2 linked regions of the Drosophila melanogaster genome follow. The gene in region 1 interacts genetically with each later gene. Each region holds a gene or a part of one and is shown in the gene's direction. Other genes may lie near its edges.

The links. Genes that interact genetically often act in the same process or in processes that back each other up.
Region 2: of CG5808 (region 1) and KLHL18, changing one enhances a phenotype caused by changing the other (phenotypic enhancement), as found in Drosophila melanogaster (one study listed by BioGRID).

The regions. Positions count from the first base shown.
Region 1 is NT_033777.3:24,812,709-24,820,187, reverse strand, and holds CG5808 (uncharacterized protein), read left to right. Parts: upstream 1-3,180; 5' UTR 3,181-3,235; coding exon 3,236-4,869; intron 4,870-4,931; coding exon 4,932-5,259; 3' UTR 5,260-5,285; downstream 5,286-7,479. Other genes in the region: Saf-B (scaffold attachment factor B), read right to left, coding at 1-459, 1,339-1,385, 1,488-1,602, 1,750-1,777, 1,838-2,326, 2,452-2,571; CG34150 (uncharacterized protein), read right to left, coding at 5,324-5,490, 5,554-5,635, 5,696-5,839, 5,891-5,911; lili (lilipod), read left to right, coding at 6,538-6,612.
Region 2 is NT_033777.3:12,005,354-12,012,128, reverse strand, and holds KLHL18 (kelch like family member 18), read left to right. Parts: upstream 1-1,694; 5' UTR 1,695-1,755; coding exon 1,756-1,887; exon of another isoform or gene 1,888-1,964; coding exon of another isoform or gene 1,965-1,985; coding exon 1,986-2,839; intron 2,840-2,901; coding exon 2,902-3,160; intron 3,161-3,233; coding exon 3,234-3,716; 3' UTR 3,717-3,766; exon of another isoform or gene 3,767-4,028; intron 4,029-4,200; 3' UTR 4,201-4,653; downstream 4,654-6,775. Other genes in the region: GCC185 (GRIP and coiled-coil domain containing 185 kDa), read right to left, coding at 1-946, 1,007-1,106, 1,169-1,198.

The DNA.
Region 1 (7,479 bases):
TGCCACTGTCGTCTTCCTTCTTCTTGTTTCCGGCGTCGCCCGGAGCCTTGCCCTTGCCCTCTTTGGAATTCAAGCTGCCGCCAATCTCGTTCTTGGTACGCTCCACCGAAATGATGCGTCCATGCAATTCGGTGCGGTGCAGATTTTCGATGCAACGCGAGGCGTCTGCCGAGGAGGACATGGTCACGTATCCGTAGCAGCGAGTGCCCGGAGTACGCGTATTGGTGACCACCTTGGCCCCAATCACCTTGCCAAACTTGGAGAAGATTGCCTTAAGGTCGCTGGCACGGGTTAAAGTGGACAGCCCAGAAACCCATAGATTTCGCGACAGCGTCGCCTGCTTGTTGTTTGAGTTGGCCCCAGTACCATTGCCAGCACTGGAACCGGATCCCGATTTACTGCCAGCGGCACTCGATGCAGTGGAGGATGTGGCACCACCAGGTGCTGCTGTCGATTTCTCTGCAAGTTCCATGTAAATAATAATATTGGAAGAGAGATATGGTCAGAGCTTTGAGTGGGCTTAACTGGTTAACTGTTTTTGTTTATGATACGTTTTTAAGGGAAGCATTTTGTGAACGCACACATTTTGTAGCTGCTGCAGATGTTGGAGTTTAGAGCACAATCGTAAGATTACCGACAAACTTCACCTAACGAAGCTAAGAGAGTATGAATTTGATTGGGTTGCTGATGAAAATCCATTGCGGCAGCAGGCTCGCTTTTTGCTGAAGGCGTTCAGAGTATAGAGCAGCATATCCAGAGCTGACTGTTTAAATAGCTGTCAGTTTCCATCGTCATCCACAGGTAAGGCCAGCATATCCTAGCCAGGATCGAAATAAGTGATGTAATACAAATCCAGTAGTTATCTGCCGAGAAGAATTAAAAATATCCGCACTTCCCAGCTGCAGTAAGGGAAAGGTGCCATCCATTTATTCTCCAGATAGCCTCATTTTATATTATAGGCCCCTCAACGGAGTATTTGCACATACGCCTATTGATGACCAATGTTATAAACTCCTTGGAGAACATTGGGATGTGTGTTTGATTAGTATGAAGTTTCCGTCGAAGTTAACTGGAACAAACACTAAGATTAACTCGAATTGCTGAATTTAAGATGCATCGCTGCTCCTGAGCCGAATTCTCGCATCCTTGTTGATAAGAGTCCCATGTCCGTGTCCCAACCAAATTCACACTCTCTTGCACGGTCTTTGATACATGTTCCTCAATGGTTTAGTCAATTTTTTCGACCTTAACTGGGTTCATGCTTGGTCTGATCATTCCCAACGCAAGACCATCCGAACACACCATTCTTATTCATGCTAAAACTTTAACTTAATTTACCTTTATCGTCCTTTTGATTCGACGACTTTCCTGAGGACTTTTGTTCACTATTTTCCATAATAATTTATGCACAATCATGTGGCGAAATGAAAAGAAAAAATATATTATGTTATTAGAAGACATGTCACAGAAACGTTTTCAAATCTTACCTAGAGTCCTTCTTATCACCGGATTTCTCATCCCTTTTCTTGGAGCGAGCTCCGTCGTCATTCTTCTTGTCGGCATCCTTCGAGTTAGACTTTTCGGATTTATTGGCCGGTTTGACTGTGAATCAGGATAACTTTTATTAACATATTAGCTTTATTTCTTGTATTTCGTATTTCTTAATCGATTGCATGAATACAAACGCCATGATATTTCTAGTCATGAATTATAAATTTTCTATGGTTTTGAGTGATACTGCAAACATACCAGACTTAATAGATTTGTCGTCGGAAGCCTGAGGACAAAACAAATTGGATTAGAATACATCAATTTAAGGCCAAATAGTTAAAATCACCTCATCGTGCAGCAGCTTCTGCTCGTCCTCCCCAATTGTCAAATTGATTGACTCGTCATTGTCCATATTTCCGGTGTCCCCGGTGTTTTCCTCCTCACCATGGATAATAGCCTTGTCGTCGCCATTGTTCTCGGCTCCATCGTCCTGAGCTTTCCCCTCGGCATCGCCATCACCGCTCTGGGGCTCATCGTCGTACACATGATCCTCATCCTCTTCATCGTCGTCATCCAGGATCACACACTCATCGTCCACATCTCCCACCTGGTCAATCTCATGCCCATCGTCGTCGGCATGATGCGAGTAGTCGTTGCCATTCTGGTAATCATCTTGCTGTTCCACCTTCACCTCCTCCTCATTGGCATCGATGGGCTCTTCCTTGATCACCACCTCCGACTGGAGATCTTTCATGGGCATGGCAAACGGCTTCTTGGCCTTCGCGCCCGGCACAATCAAGTGGGTGGCCGGGTCGAGCCCTTCAGCTCTGAGTGACTTGAAATTAGAAAAAACCAGGCGTTGCTTACACACATTCATAAATCCCCGGAAATTGCATCACTATCTCTATCGCCAGCGGCACTGAACCGCCATTTAAGTTGCATACATATTTGTGGACTTACTTTTTCAAGGCGTTCGATGAGCACCGCCTTGGGGCCGACTGTCTCCAACTCGCGTTTCTCCAGCTCACTCTTTAGATCGCACACGCGCAACTCTGCTATTTTCTTTCCTGCCTCGGGCATTTTACCTTGTTCTAGATCACTGGTCACTTGCTTAACTATTAATTGTCGCTTTTTAAGATTGGAATGAAATTTTCTGTACTTTTTTCCAGTCTCGAAACGTGTGAAAATTCTTTGACAAGTCTCACTGATACACACACAATTATCGAATGACAATCGAAAATGGCGATTACGAAGTTACGTTCTGTTTTTAAAATATTCAATCGATGTCAAGTATCGGATGAACTTACGCATCGTGTATAACTATTTACATTTACAGGTATGGACTTCTTTGATCAATTTGTATTTTCTTTATTTTTTTTCAGTTTTGTTCAGTTTGTATTTTTTTTACTTTTTTCTCAGTTTAGGGTACATAAAAAAAAATATTTTTTTTTCAAAATTTATGTAAAATACCAATTTTGTACAAGTTTCATATAACACCGACATAAGTCACATTAAATTAATAATTGTATTAGAAAATTTGGATAATTAATTTATACCTACAATTTATACACTTCTCTCCTCCGATGCGCAGTAGAGATGGAAAAACATCGATGATTCCTCGAAAAACATCGATGTTTGTGATTTTTCGAAAGCATCGATGATATCGATTTGGCATCGATGTTTCTCCACCTCTATATTGTTCTTGTTTATCCCTTGATTTTGCCGGTATCTGTGAATTCGCACAATGTCGGTGGTTATAGAAACCACGATGGGTGACCTGACCGTCGACCTGTTCATCAGCGAGCGCCCAATTGCCTGCCTAAACTTCCTCAAGCTGTGCCGGCTGAAGTACTATAACTTCAATCTATTTCACACGGTGCAGCAGGGATTCATCGCCCAAACAGGCGATCCGAGTGGAGCTGGAGACGGCGGATCCTCCATCTGGGGCGTGGTGGAGGGTCCGCAAAAGCGCTTCTTCGAGGCGGAGTTCCTGCCCAAGATTAACCACTCCAGTGCCGGAATGCTATCGCTGGTCAGTGCAGGCAAGAATCTGGTGGGATCCCAGTTCTTCCTCACGCTGGGTGAGAACCTAACATCGCTGGACGGCAACCACTGCGTTATCGGTGAAGTGGTGGAAGGTCACGAGGTGCTGCGCAAGCTAAACGACGCCATTGTTGACGACAGCTTCCGTCCTTACCAGGATATACGCATCACACACACTGTTGTGCTTGAGGATCCGTTTCCTAATCCGCGCGGCCTTCAGGCTCCAAGTCGCTCACCTTCGCCCAGTGCGGAGCGTCTGAAGAACGGGCGCATCGCTGCCGACGAGGATATCGATGACACTGATGGCATGACCGCGGAGGAGATGCAGGAGATGCTGGCCGAACGAGAGGCCAAGGCTCGAGCCACAATCCTTGAGATTGTCGGCGATTTACCCGATGCAGACATGGCTCCGCCAGAAAATGTCTTGTTTGTGTGCAAACTCAATCCTGTTACAACCGACGATGATCTGGAGATAATCTTTAGTAGCTTCGGCGTGCTTAAAGGATGTGAGGTGATTCGCGACCGCAAAACGGGAGATTCTCTGCAATATGCTTTTGTGGAGTTCGAGGATCAAAAATCTTGTGAGGCCGCATATTTCAAAATGGATAATGTGCTTATCGACGATCGACGCATCCACGTGGACTTCTCCCAATCCGTTTCAAAGGTCACCTGGCGGGGCAAAGGACGTGGTATTGAGGGCGACTATAGAAAGCTGGATTTTAACAATTTGCGAGACGACAAAGATCACAGGAAACCAAACAATGGCCGGTCCAGAACAGAAGACCATAAGGAGCGCAACAGGACGGAAGATTTTCGAAATAGGATGAGCTCTGCAGAGCGAAGAAAAGCGAGAGAACAGCGACACCAGGAGCAAAGCGAACGAGATGTTCGAAAGAATTTGCAAAGACGCACCAGATCGAAGGAAAAAGATGAAAAAAGTGTTTATAGATCGAAAAAATCGCAAAATGAGTCAGTCAGAGAGAACTCAAATCGCGAAAGGAATCGCAATGAAAAAAGGTCATCGAGGTCTCGGGATGCAACACATAGAAGGTACTCTAGGTCAAGAGATCGAGAAGAGAGAAGGCCTTCTAGGCCTAGAGACCAATTAGGAAGACGTTCTAGGTCAAGGGACCAAAAGGAAAGAAGACGCTCTAGGCCAAGGGAACAAAATGAGAGAAGGCGTTCTAGATCTAGAGATCAAACTGGAAAAAGACCGACTCAAAACAGAGATCGCAATGACAGCAGGCGATTCCATTCCCCTCAAGAAGGAAGACGTAACGATGAGAGATCGCATAGAGAAACCTCCAGGAATCAAAGAAGATCGCCAGAGCGGAGGTAAAAATGTTAAGCATCTGGATGTATACAAAATCTTTAACTATCTATCTATCTTTTTATAGGCAACAATCCAGGAACCGGGAAGACCATAGAATGGACACTCACTCAAGCCCTAACAAGAGTCATGAGAAGAAAAGAAAACTTTCAGTGGAAAAGAGCAAAAAGCAAGCCAAGAAATCGAAACGAGCAGCTAGCAGCAGTTCAGATTCGAGTGAAAGTTCCTCGGAATCCGAAAGCGACTCCACATCTTCAGATAGTTCCGAGGACAGCTCTAGCAGCTCCTCATCGTCGGACGATCGCAGCAAACGCAAAAAGAGTACAAAATCCAAGCAAAAGAAGTCCAAGTCAAAGAGTAGTCACAAATCGAAGAAGAAACATAATAGAAATTAAAGATAAACGACGTAATTAATCAGAACAAAACCATCTTGACTACAGCTAAATATTGAATATATTTTTATTTGTTGCGGGCCTGGACTTCGGCTTCCAGCGCCGCCATCGCAGCGCCACCGCAGCAACCTTCAGTGTTTTTGTCGCCGCGTTGCCTGCGCGGTTTTTCGATAATTGCGTCAGGATTAAAGACCACATTGTCGAGTCGCGTTGTCTCTGGCGTGATCCTTAGTTCTGTAAATATAGCCAAATTTTAATTTTGAGCGCTCTTTTATGTAATCGCCATGCCCCACTGACCATAAACACCATCCTCTTTTTTCTGGGCTTGGATGACATTCGTTCGCAGCTCCAAATCCACGTCCTGCGCCAGCTTGATCATCTGTAATTTGCCAAATTGCCATATATGTACTTAGTTAGAATTTACAAAAAGTGGTTAAACCTTTTGAATTTCATCCTCGCTGCTTTCATTACGATTCTGCAGGAAAGATTCGTTGATTTTTAGTCGTCCCGCCGCCAAAGCATTGGCATCCCCCTGAAAAACGTATTGTCGTGTACGGTGGAGCTTCTTGAAAGCACTGAGAACCTGGAATACAAACAATATTAACCGATTATTTATGATTTTAAGTTAATTTACCTGGCGCCGCAAATTGGACATTTTTGTATGGTAACAGCTGACAGATGTAAGGTTGCCAGAATGTCTGAACCAATTGATAGTTTTTAGGGTTACAGTTTTCTTAACTTGAAGATATTGCATTGGTATAATATTTTTTTCTCTAATAATAGAGGTCAATAAAAATTTTAAATTCAGTATTTTCTTTCCAATTCAATTTTTTTTTTTTTAGAGATTCAATATTTTCCTTTCTAAACGTAAGCACATACATCGAAAGCTATCGACCTATCGTCAATTGTCCACCTCTAGCAGATGCGGTCAATCTGACGCCAGTTTATAGAAATCTTTTAACGTTTCGGTCGTAAATCGGCTCGAATGCTAGTAGAAAATTAGTGACCAGCGCAAAACGGGTCGAAAGGCAATGCGGCATCAAAAAGTTAACTAAATTAATCACAATTACCGTGCGAAATCAGACAGTGCAGCGCCACAGCGACTTTAATTCAGAAAATTTGTAACCTGGAGCGCATTACTAAGAAGGACTGTTGCCCATAGGAATTTGACAGACTCTGGCGACTGTCAAATGTGTATGTAACATTTTTAAGTGAGGCGTGATCTAGGAAAAATTGTGAAAACTGGCTACCAGCGATAAATTGTCCAAATATTTCGTGGGCATGGACGAAGAGGAGGAGGAGGAGGTTACGGATCTAAAGCTGCAATTGTTCCACAATACAGTACGCGAGCACATTGTAAGTGTTTTTCTGGATTGAATTCATCCCCTTTCCACCCAATTTCCCACCCCACTACGCATAAAACAACAACAAGAACTCAGGGCGCAGCTGTCCCTATTGTTGTTGTTCTAACTGTACATGTGGCTGGGTGTAAAATGCGTGCGACTTCTGGAAATTACACACACTTCGCCTGGTCTTTTGATAAACAGAGAAATCAGTTGCTGGTCGTCTACAGAAATGTATTTGTTTATGGTTCTGTTATCGGTTTCGGACTACAGTGGTCAGCACATTCGGCGCCTGCGTTTGGGCTTTGTATATAAAATCGGGGAAGGAAGTGGCGGCGATAGCCACTCTCTTCTTGCACTTTCTATTTGAGCTGCGAAAATTATCACGCAGACACACCAAAAGTGGCCCACACGGACGGACACCTGTTGTTAATCAAAGAGTTTAGACACAATCGATGATTCGACGGCGAGATACTTGCTACCATTACCAAGCTTTATTCGTTTCTATTTTATTATTAGAACTTTATAAACAAATGTTTTTTTACATGTTCTTGTTTACAATTAGATTAATTAAGAACAATAGGTTCTTAAAATATATGTTTTAAATTTCATTAAAATATTACTCTCCATTCTTGTTGAATATTTAAATTCCAATATCCAAATGGAAGGCAGGCTTAAATAGTTTCATTAATAGTTCCCAGTAATGTTGCCCTTAAGTTAATTGGTTCTTGTGAGTTCATAAGCCCTATCAGAATGCTTAGGTTTTGCTATTTGAAAAATGGAAGGTAACTAGAAGTCCAAGGTATTGATAAGATAATCAACAAACTTCACTTAATTGGTACCAATATCGTAGAACTTTCAATTGAAATCAAATTTTAAA
Region 2 (6,775 bases), about 13 Mb from region 1:
TTCCTGGCGTGATTTTTGGTGTTTTCCTGCTCCTTCGTTACACTTATCAATTGTTCCTTGTCAATTCTATGCTGCTGCTTTATAATGACTGCAAGCTCTTCGAGAGCGGTTATCTTCTTAAGTAGGTACTCCACATTCAAATTGCTCCTTTGGTTCTTTTGCTTCTGCTTCACTATTTTGGCTAGCCGATCCATTTCCTGAACTCTTTGCAGCAAGCGCTTGCGGTCAATTCCAGTGTCAATTGTTTGAGGATTATTGTCTGACTTTCCATTGTTCAGCTTCAGTTTTTCATTCTCGGCCTGCAGGGATGCCATCTTTGCGCACAACAGTTGCGAAGCTTTGATAATCTCCACCTGCCATTTGGAAACGGATGCGGCGTACTCGTGCTGCGTTTCCAGCAGCACGCACTTGCACTCCTTGAGGTTCTTCAACTTGCGGTGTACATCAATGAAGCGGTCCTTTAGAGAATTAAACTTCTTGCGTTGCTCAGAGTTAAGTTCCTTGATGTTTTGGTACTTTTGCTGCAGCACACTCGACTCTTCTTCCATCGTGGCGACTTGCTGGCGAAGACTAGCGTTTTCCGCCTCCGCTTCCTTAATTTTGGCAATGTCCACTTCCAAAAGTTCCAGATTCTTGCGCTGCTCGTTACCCAGAGCATTGACCTGTTGCATAGCCTTTTCCATGCGATCCACATTGGCAAGGAGGGCATCGTTTTCATCACTCAGTCGCCCAAGTTGGCGCTTTAGGCTCTCGTTCTCGATCTCGAATTGCGTCAGTCGATCGGCATCCTCTTTGGTCTTTCGTTTCAGATTATTCACTTCCTCGGTGAGGATGAGGTTCTTATCGGTGAAGTCCTGGACCATTTCCTGCATGGCTGGCAGGCTGCTCTGCTTCTCCGCCGCCCGTTTAAGGGCATCCTTGAGTCGGTGATTTTCCTCGGTGAGTTCTGAAAGAGAGTGGCTTGCATTATTCTGGAAGATTCCCTGAAACTCTCCATCAAACTTACCATCTTTTGCCTGTTTCGCCTTTTTAGCGATGTTGAGCAGGCCTTTGTATTTGCTGATGATTTCATCTTTGCTCAGCGCCTCGATCGGATTCGGGTTCTTCTGCAAATGCAAATAACAAGATGAGACGTCATCATCAATTCTAGCGACACCTTTTTACTCACCTGGGTTTCCCTCGGTGATGCGGCTTCCATGTTACTTGCTATTTTCGTATCCTTGCATTTAATAGCGGTCCAAACATTTATGTCTTAACTCAGATCAGTGGTTTTCCAATTAGCAAGCGACCCAGATTACTCGAAAATGTTTTTGGACCCTTAATCAATCCGAGCGAAGAAAACACTCCAGCCACACTAACAGCTGATAGGGCTGTCATCACCGCCCAATTAGTGATGAGCGTCTTTTTTTAAGAAGGTGACGCAAAAACGGAAAAATTACTAATTAAAATTAAATGAAAGAATAATATTGTCTTAAAAATATGTGCTTTTTAAGGATTTAATTATCACTGTTGCATAAAAAGGGCTCAACTTTTTAATAAGTATTATGAAATTACATTTTGGTCCAAGAACGTTACCTTTAAAATTAAACAATATGATTCAATAAATTTGTTTCACTACTATTGGTGTTGTTCAACTATCGAAGGAACCTCAACTATCGATTAATGTGACCGCTCACCACTGACCACCACTAGCTCTGCAGTACAAGCAACATTTGGCATCTCTACTGTTTATCATTTTCTTGATCCGTTAAAGTGATGGATTTGAGTGATAATAGCCAAGTGGAGGATCAATACTTTGTTTACAAGCATGATAAGCTATTCGGCGAGAGTTTCCCCCTGTTCAAGGAAATCCGCAGGATGGGCAAGCTGTGCGATGTCACCCTAAAGGTTGTTTGCGTGCAGACTGGGGCATTCAATCACCCGCAGCTCAGAGATACGTTCATTATCTAGCGTCTAAATATAAAATGCCATCCCAATTATTGCAGGTTGAAGATCAGACCTTCTCAGCGCACCGCGTTGTGCTGGCGGCCACCATCCCGTATTTCTATGCGATGTTCACCAACAACATGGCAGAGAGTCGGATCAAGGAGATCACCATGAAGGAGAGCGCCATAGAGCCAAGTGCCCTGGAGAGTCTGATCAACTATGTTTACAGCGGCCAAGTGCGCATCGACAACCAGAATGTGCAGAACCTGATGGTGGGCGCCAGCTTCCTGCAATTGTCCAACGTGCGGGATGCCTGTGCCAGTTTCCTGATCTCCCGCTTTCATCCGCACAATGTCCTGGGAATCCGCACCTTCGCCGACTCCATGATCTGCCGGCAGCTAATCGACGCTGCCGACAAGTATATTGATCAAAACTTTGCCAAAGTCTCGCAGTCGGAGGAGTTTCTCGCCCTGGACTGCGAACAATTGCTGGAGCTGATGCGCCGGGACGAACTCAACGTACGCACCGAGGAGGTCATCTTCGAGGCCTGCATGAAGTGGGTCAAGTACGCAGAAGACAAGCGCTCTGAGCTCTTTCCTCAGGTCCTGGCTGCAGTGCGTTTGCCATTGCTCTCGCCTCAGTTCCTGGCGGACCGTGTGGCCCGCGAGGAACTCATTCGATCCTCGCACCAATGCCGTGATCTCCTAGACGAGGCCAAGGACTTTCACCTCATGCCCGAGCGCAGGGGTCTGCTGCAGAGCTTTCGCACGCGCCAGAGATCCGGTGAGTTCTTTACCGGACAAATATACGCCGTGGGAGGACTGGCCAGCACTGGGGAATCTGTGAGCACGGTCGAGATTTACGATCCGCTCACCAAAAAATGGAAAATGGGCGAACAAATGTCCATGATGAGGTGAGTGTGCGAGGAGCATTTATTTCTATTCTATCCCATACTAATTGCCAATTTTTCGACAGATCTCGCGTGGGTGTGGCCGTTCTGAATGGCAAGCTGTACGCCTTTGGTGGATTCAATGGCACCGAACGTCTGTCCACCGTTGAGGTCTACGACCCGCGCAAAAACAAGTGGTCCCAGGGCTGTGCCATGCTCTGCAAACGCAGCGCCGTGGGCGTGGCCGCATTGGATGATTGTATCTATGTGTGCGGCGGCTACGACGGCGTCACGTCGCTCAACACCGTTGAAGTTTACTATCCAAAGTCTAACACTTGGAAGACTGTAAGTAAACAAACATTCTATGTAACCCAGATGGGTAAGAAAACTGATCCAACTTTAATTTCACTACCCGAAGGTTGCTCAAATGATGAAATATCGTTCGGCTGGTGGAGTTACCCAATTGAACGGCTACGTCTACGCCCTTGGCGGTCATGATGGGTTGTCCATATTCGATTCGGTGGAGCGGTACGACCAGGCCGAAGATGTCTGGGTTAAGATGTCGCCCATGCTGAATCGTCGCTGTAGACTGGGCGTGGCCACGCTGAACGGAAAGATATACGTGTGCGGCGGCTACTGCGGCAACTCATTCCTTCGATCCGTAGAGTGCTACGACCCTCAGACGGACACCTGGAAGCTGGTGACACCAATGAATTGCAAACGCTCGCGGGTGGCTCTGGCCGCCAACATGGGCAAACTGTGGGCCATCGGCGGCTATGATGGCGAGTCAAATTTGTCTACAGTCGAGGTGTACGATCCGGAGACCGACAAATGGACCTTTATGCCGCCCATGTGCGCACACAGTGGTGGTGTCGGAGCCGGGGTCATACGGATCGAGTAACCCACTCGATTCGCCTGCCAAACCCGTTTCTCTAGCCACACTCGTCTTAGGTAATTTATGTGAATTGAATCGATATAGTTTAGCCTAGATATGATTGTTGAGGGTAACCAAGCTTTAGTGGCACCTCGTGCGGCCGCCTCGTATGCAACTCAGCTCAGCTCTTGCAGCTCTATCAAAATTGTTCATATACTACTCACAGCTCTATAGATTTTGTCATTCCAGTTATGTAATTGTTTAGTTACTACGCCTAGCCTTAAATACTCATTACAATATTAATCCTCCAAATAAAAACATGTATAACGCATGTTATGTAAAAATTTATTAATGGTTGGTTTATTTTTGTAAGACGGGTAAAATAGTCCTATGTATAACTAAAATCAATTTCACACCAATTTAAATCATATTTTATTTAATTTAATTTAAATTGAACTAGACTCTTAACATTAAAGTTATCTAAAGACGTATTCTTTGTATTCATTTTCAGTCATTACCCTCGCCATTTGTAATCTTGAAATGTTTTAGAAGGTTGTTAAAGTTCAGTAATTTCCTTACAGTAAAGGGACGACTGTCAACCTTTTGCACATCGTATAAATCAATTGTGTTTCGACGATCCATATGGGCGGCGGATACGTTTTATTTGAACAATAATAAATGGTTGACAAATAACAAAGCAATCTGAGCGACAAAAAGGCGAAAATGGCGAGGGCAGCGCAAAAAGTTGATGGTCAATAAGCAGGCCTTTATGGAAGGCAGTGCACTTGTTTATTGTCCCTAAAATACTTTCAGTTTTAATTAAAAATGATTAAATATTATTACCCAAGTCCCAATGTCTATCTACAATTTTCTACTTATTTTGTAACGAATAAATGTACCTTCCCTCGTTGCATCTCAGTTGAACATGCGGAGTATCTCTTCCCTTGATATTTGTACACCTCCCACGCGCGGAATGCAATTTTAAATTCGATTTGCACCACCTGCTCAAAGTGCAGCGGCAGCAAAACTAATTCGGAGCAACAGGTGGCAATGGCGCATCCAAAAATAGAGGCTAACGAAACCAAACCAAAACAAAATCAATTTGCCGTCTATCACTGACCCATAAAATGCCATACGCACAGCAAAGGGTCATAATCCAATCAATTGCACACTTAACGTACATATTTCGCAGTTATCAGATGGTTCCAGCGATGGAGGACCTTATCGCCGATCCGGATACGATCCGGTCCTGTTCCCGATTGCCAATGGCTACATGTATATTTATGTGGCTCTGCAGCGGCACGGCTATTTGCACAAGCGAAAAGGCTTTGTGGCGGCGGTCTTATTTGATTTTGATAATCAAATCACAAATTGCTTGTCTATCGATGGGCAATTTTATTTTAATTAAATGCTAATTATGTTTACCAAATGGTTGGAGTAAATATTTGTTGCATCACCGGGGACAATTGTTTATCACCACCAAACTGGAGCTCGTTTAGTTGGAAATCCGTCTAATTGTTTGGAGGGTGAGGAATTGGCTTTTTTTTTGCCCCGAAATCTGTTGCAATTTAAATGCAAATTTTTCAGCGGGCTCTCTATACACTGTAACATTTACGACTCAATTGCCCGAAAAGGCGGAAGGCAGTCCTGCAAGAAAGGATGCGAAGATAAGATGCCTGCAGGAAGCGGCGATGCTTCCACGTTTAATTTTAGACCGAAAAACTGGCGTTGTAGTGGCTGCAAGTTGCAACGAGCTGGCCCCCGGATGTGTGTGGCATCCACTTGGCCTTTCCGAGTGGCGTGTGGAGGGATTCGCCTGCTGCGGGTGATGCGGGTGATGCGGGTGATCCGGGTGTTGTCTTATCTCAAATGCCGCGACCTCGCCTCAAGTGCATTGTTGATGGTCGCGACCCGTTGAAATCTGGCTGCAACGACTTTTCCGGCTCGTTTTGTGACGCATTTGAGACGAACCCGCTTGGCCGCTTTAAATTTGATTTATTTCAAAATGATTGAAATACGGCTCAAAAGTCAAAATGAGACTCCAGGTATGGAATGCATCTTATAGTTGCATCGAATCGAATCGATTCCGTAATAATTTTGATGTATTTAAAATGTAAAATATTCATGGCTAATATATTGAATGCAATCATAAATACTGCAATATATACATAAAAAAGCACAACATTCTTTTATAACCAACTATTTCCAAAGAACGTAGTCTATTTTCATTGCATATCTCGTTTGTAGCCAATAAATGTTTCGAACACCCAACACACTTTTTGAAAGGTCAATGTTTTGTTTGCTTTATATGCGTCATATGGGAACAATTTTAATTACAAATTTTTTGGACAAACAGCCCGGGAAAAATCAACAAAGTGCATAATTTTTATTTGTCCATCTCGCAGGCATATGGTAAATCATAAATATTAAAATAAACCAAAAACAGCAACGAGTACGGGACTACATACGTAATATAAAACGAAATTAATATTTCCTTATACGCGAAACTTTCCCATTTGGCCAGTTTGGATGCTGTTGCTCCCATTCTCATTTCACTTTTCGTATCTTTTGCTCCTTTTGTGCCTATGCCTTTTTCGCATTTTGCCTACTTTTTGCATATGTTTTATTCACATATGCAAACAGAATTTCCGTTCAATTCAATTGCTCCGGCGAGGAGGCAATTTTTTATTCCACGCTGAAGTGGCGGCCGCATAAAAGAGCACACACACCGCATCGCCACACTCGCACACTCACACACTCACACCTCGTATCGTTTCAGATTCTATTCGACCAATTGTTGATATCCACGAGCACACACACACACCCTCACACCCACACAAACACACACATACACACACAAGCCGAGGCAGCTCGTGTTCCGCTGAACTTCGTGTCCTGCCGGTCGGGCTTCCTGTTTCGTTTCGGCCTTATCCTTCTGCCGCTTTTATAAAGGTCCGTTGTCGCTTCGATCTGTCGCTCAGTTGTTGCATACTTCTCGGCGCGTTCGGTACGCGAGCATTTGGACAAACAGTTAGATAGAACTGAAAGTGAAAGATATTTCCCAAGCGAATTGGCTTTACTTGTAA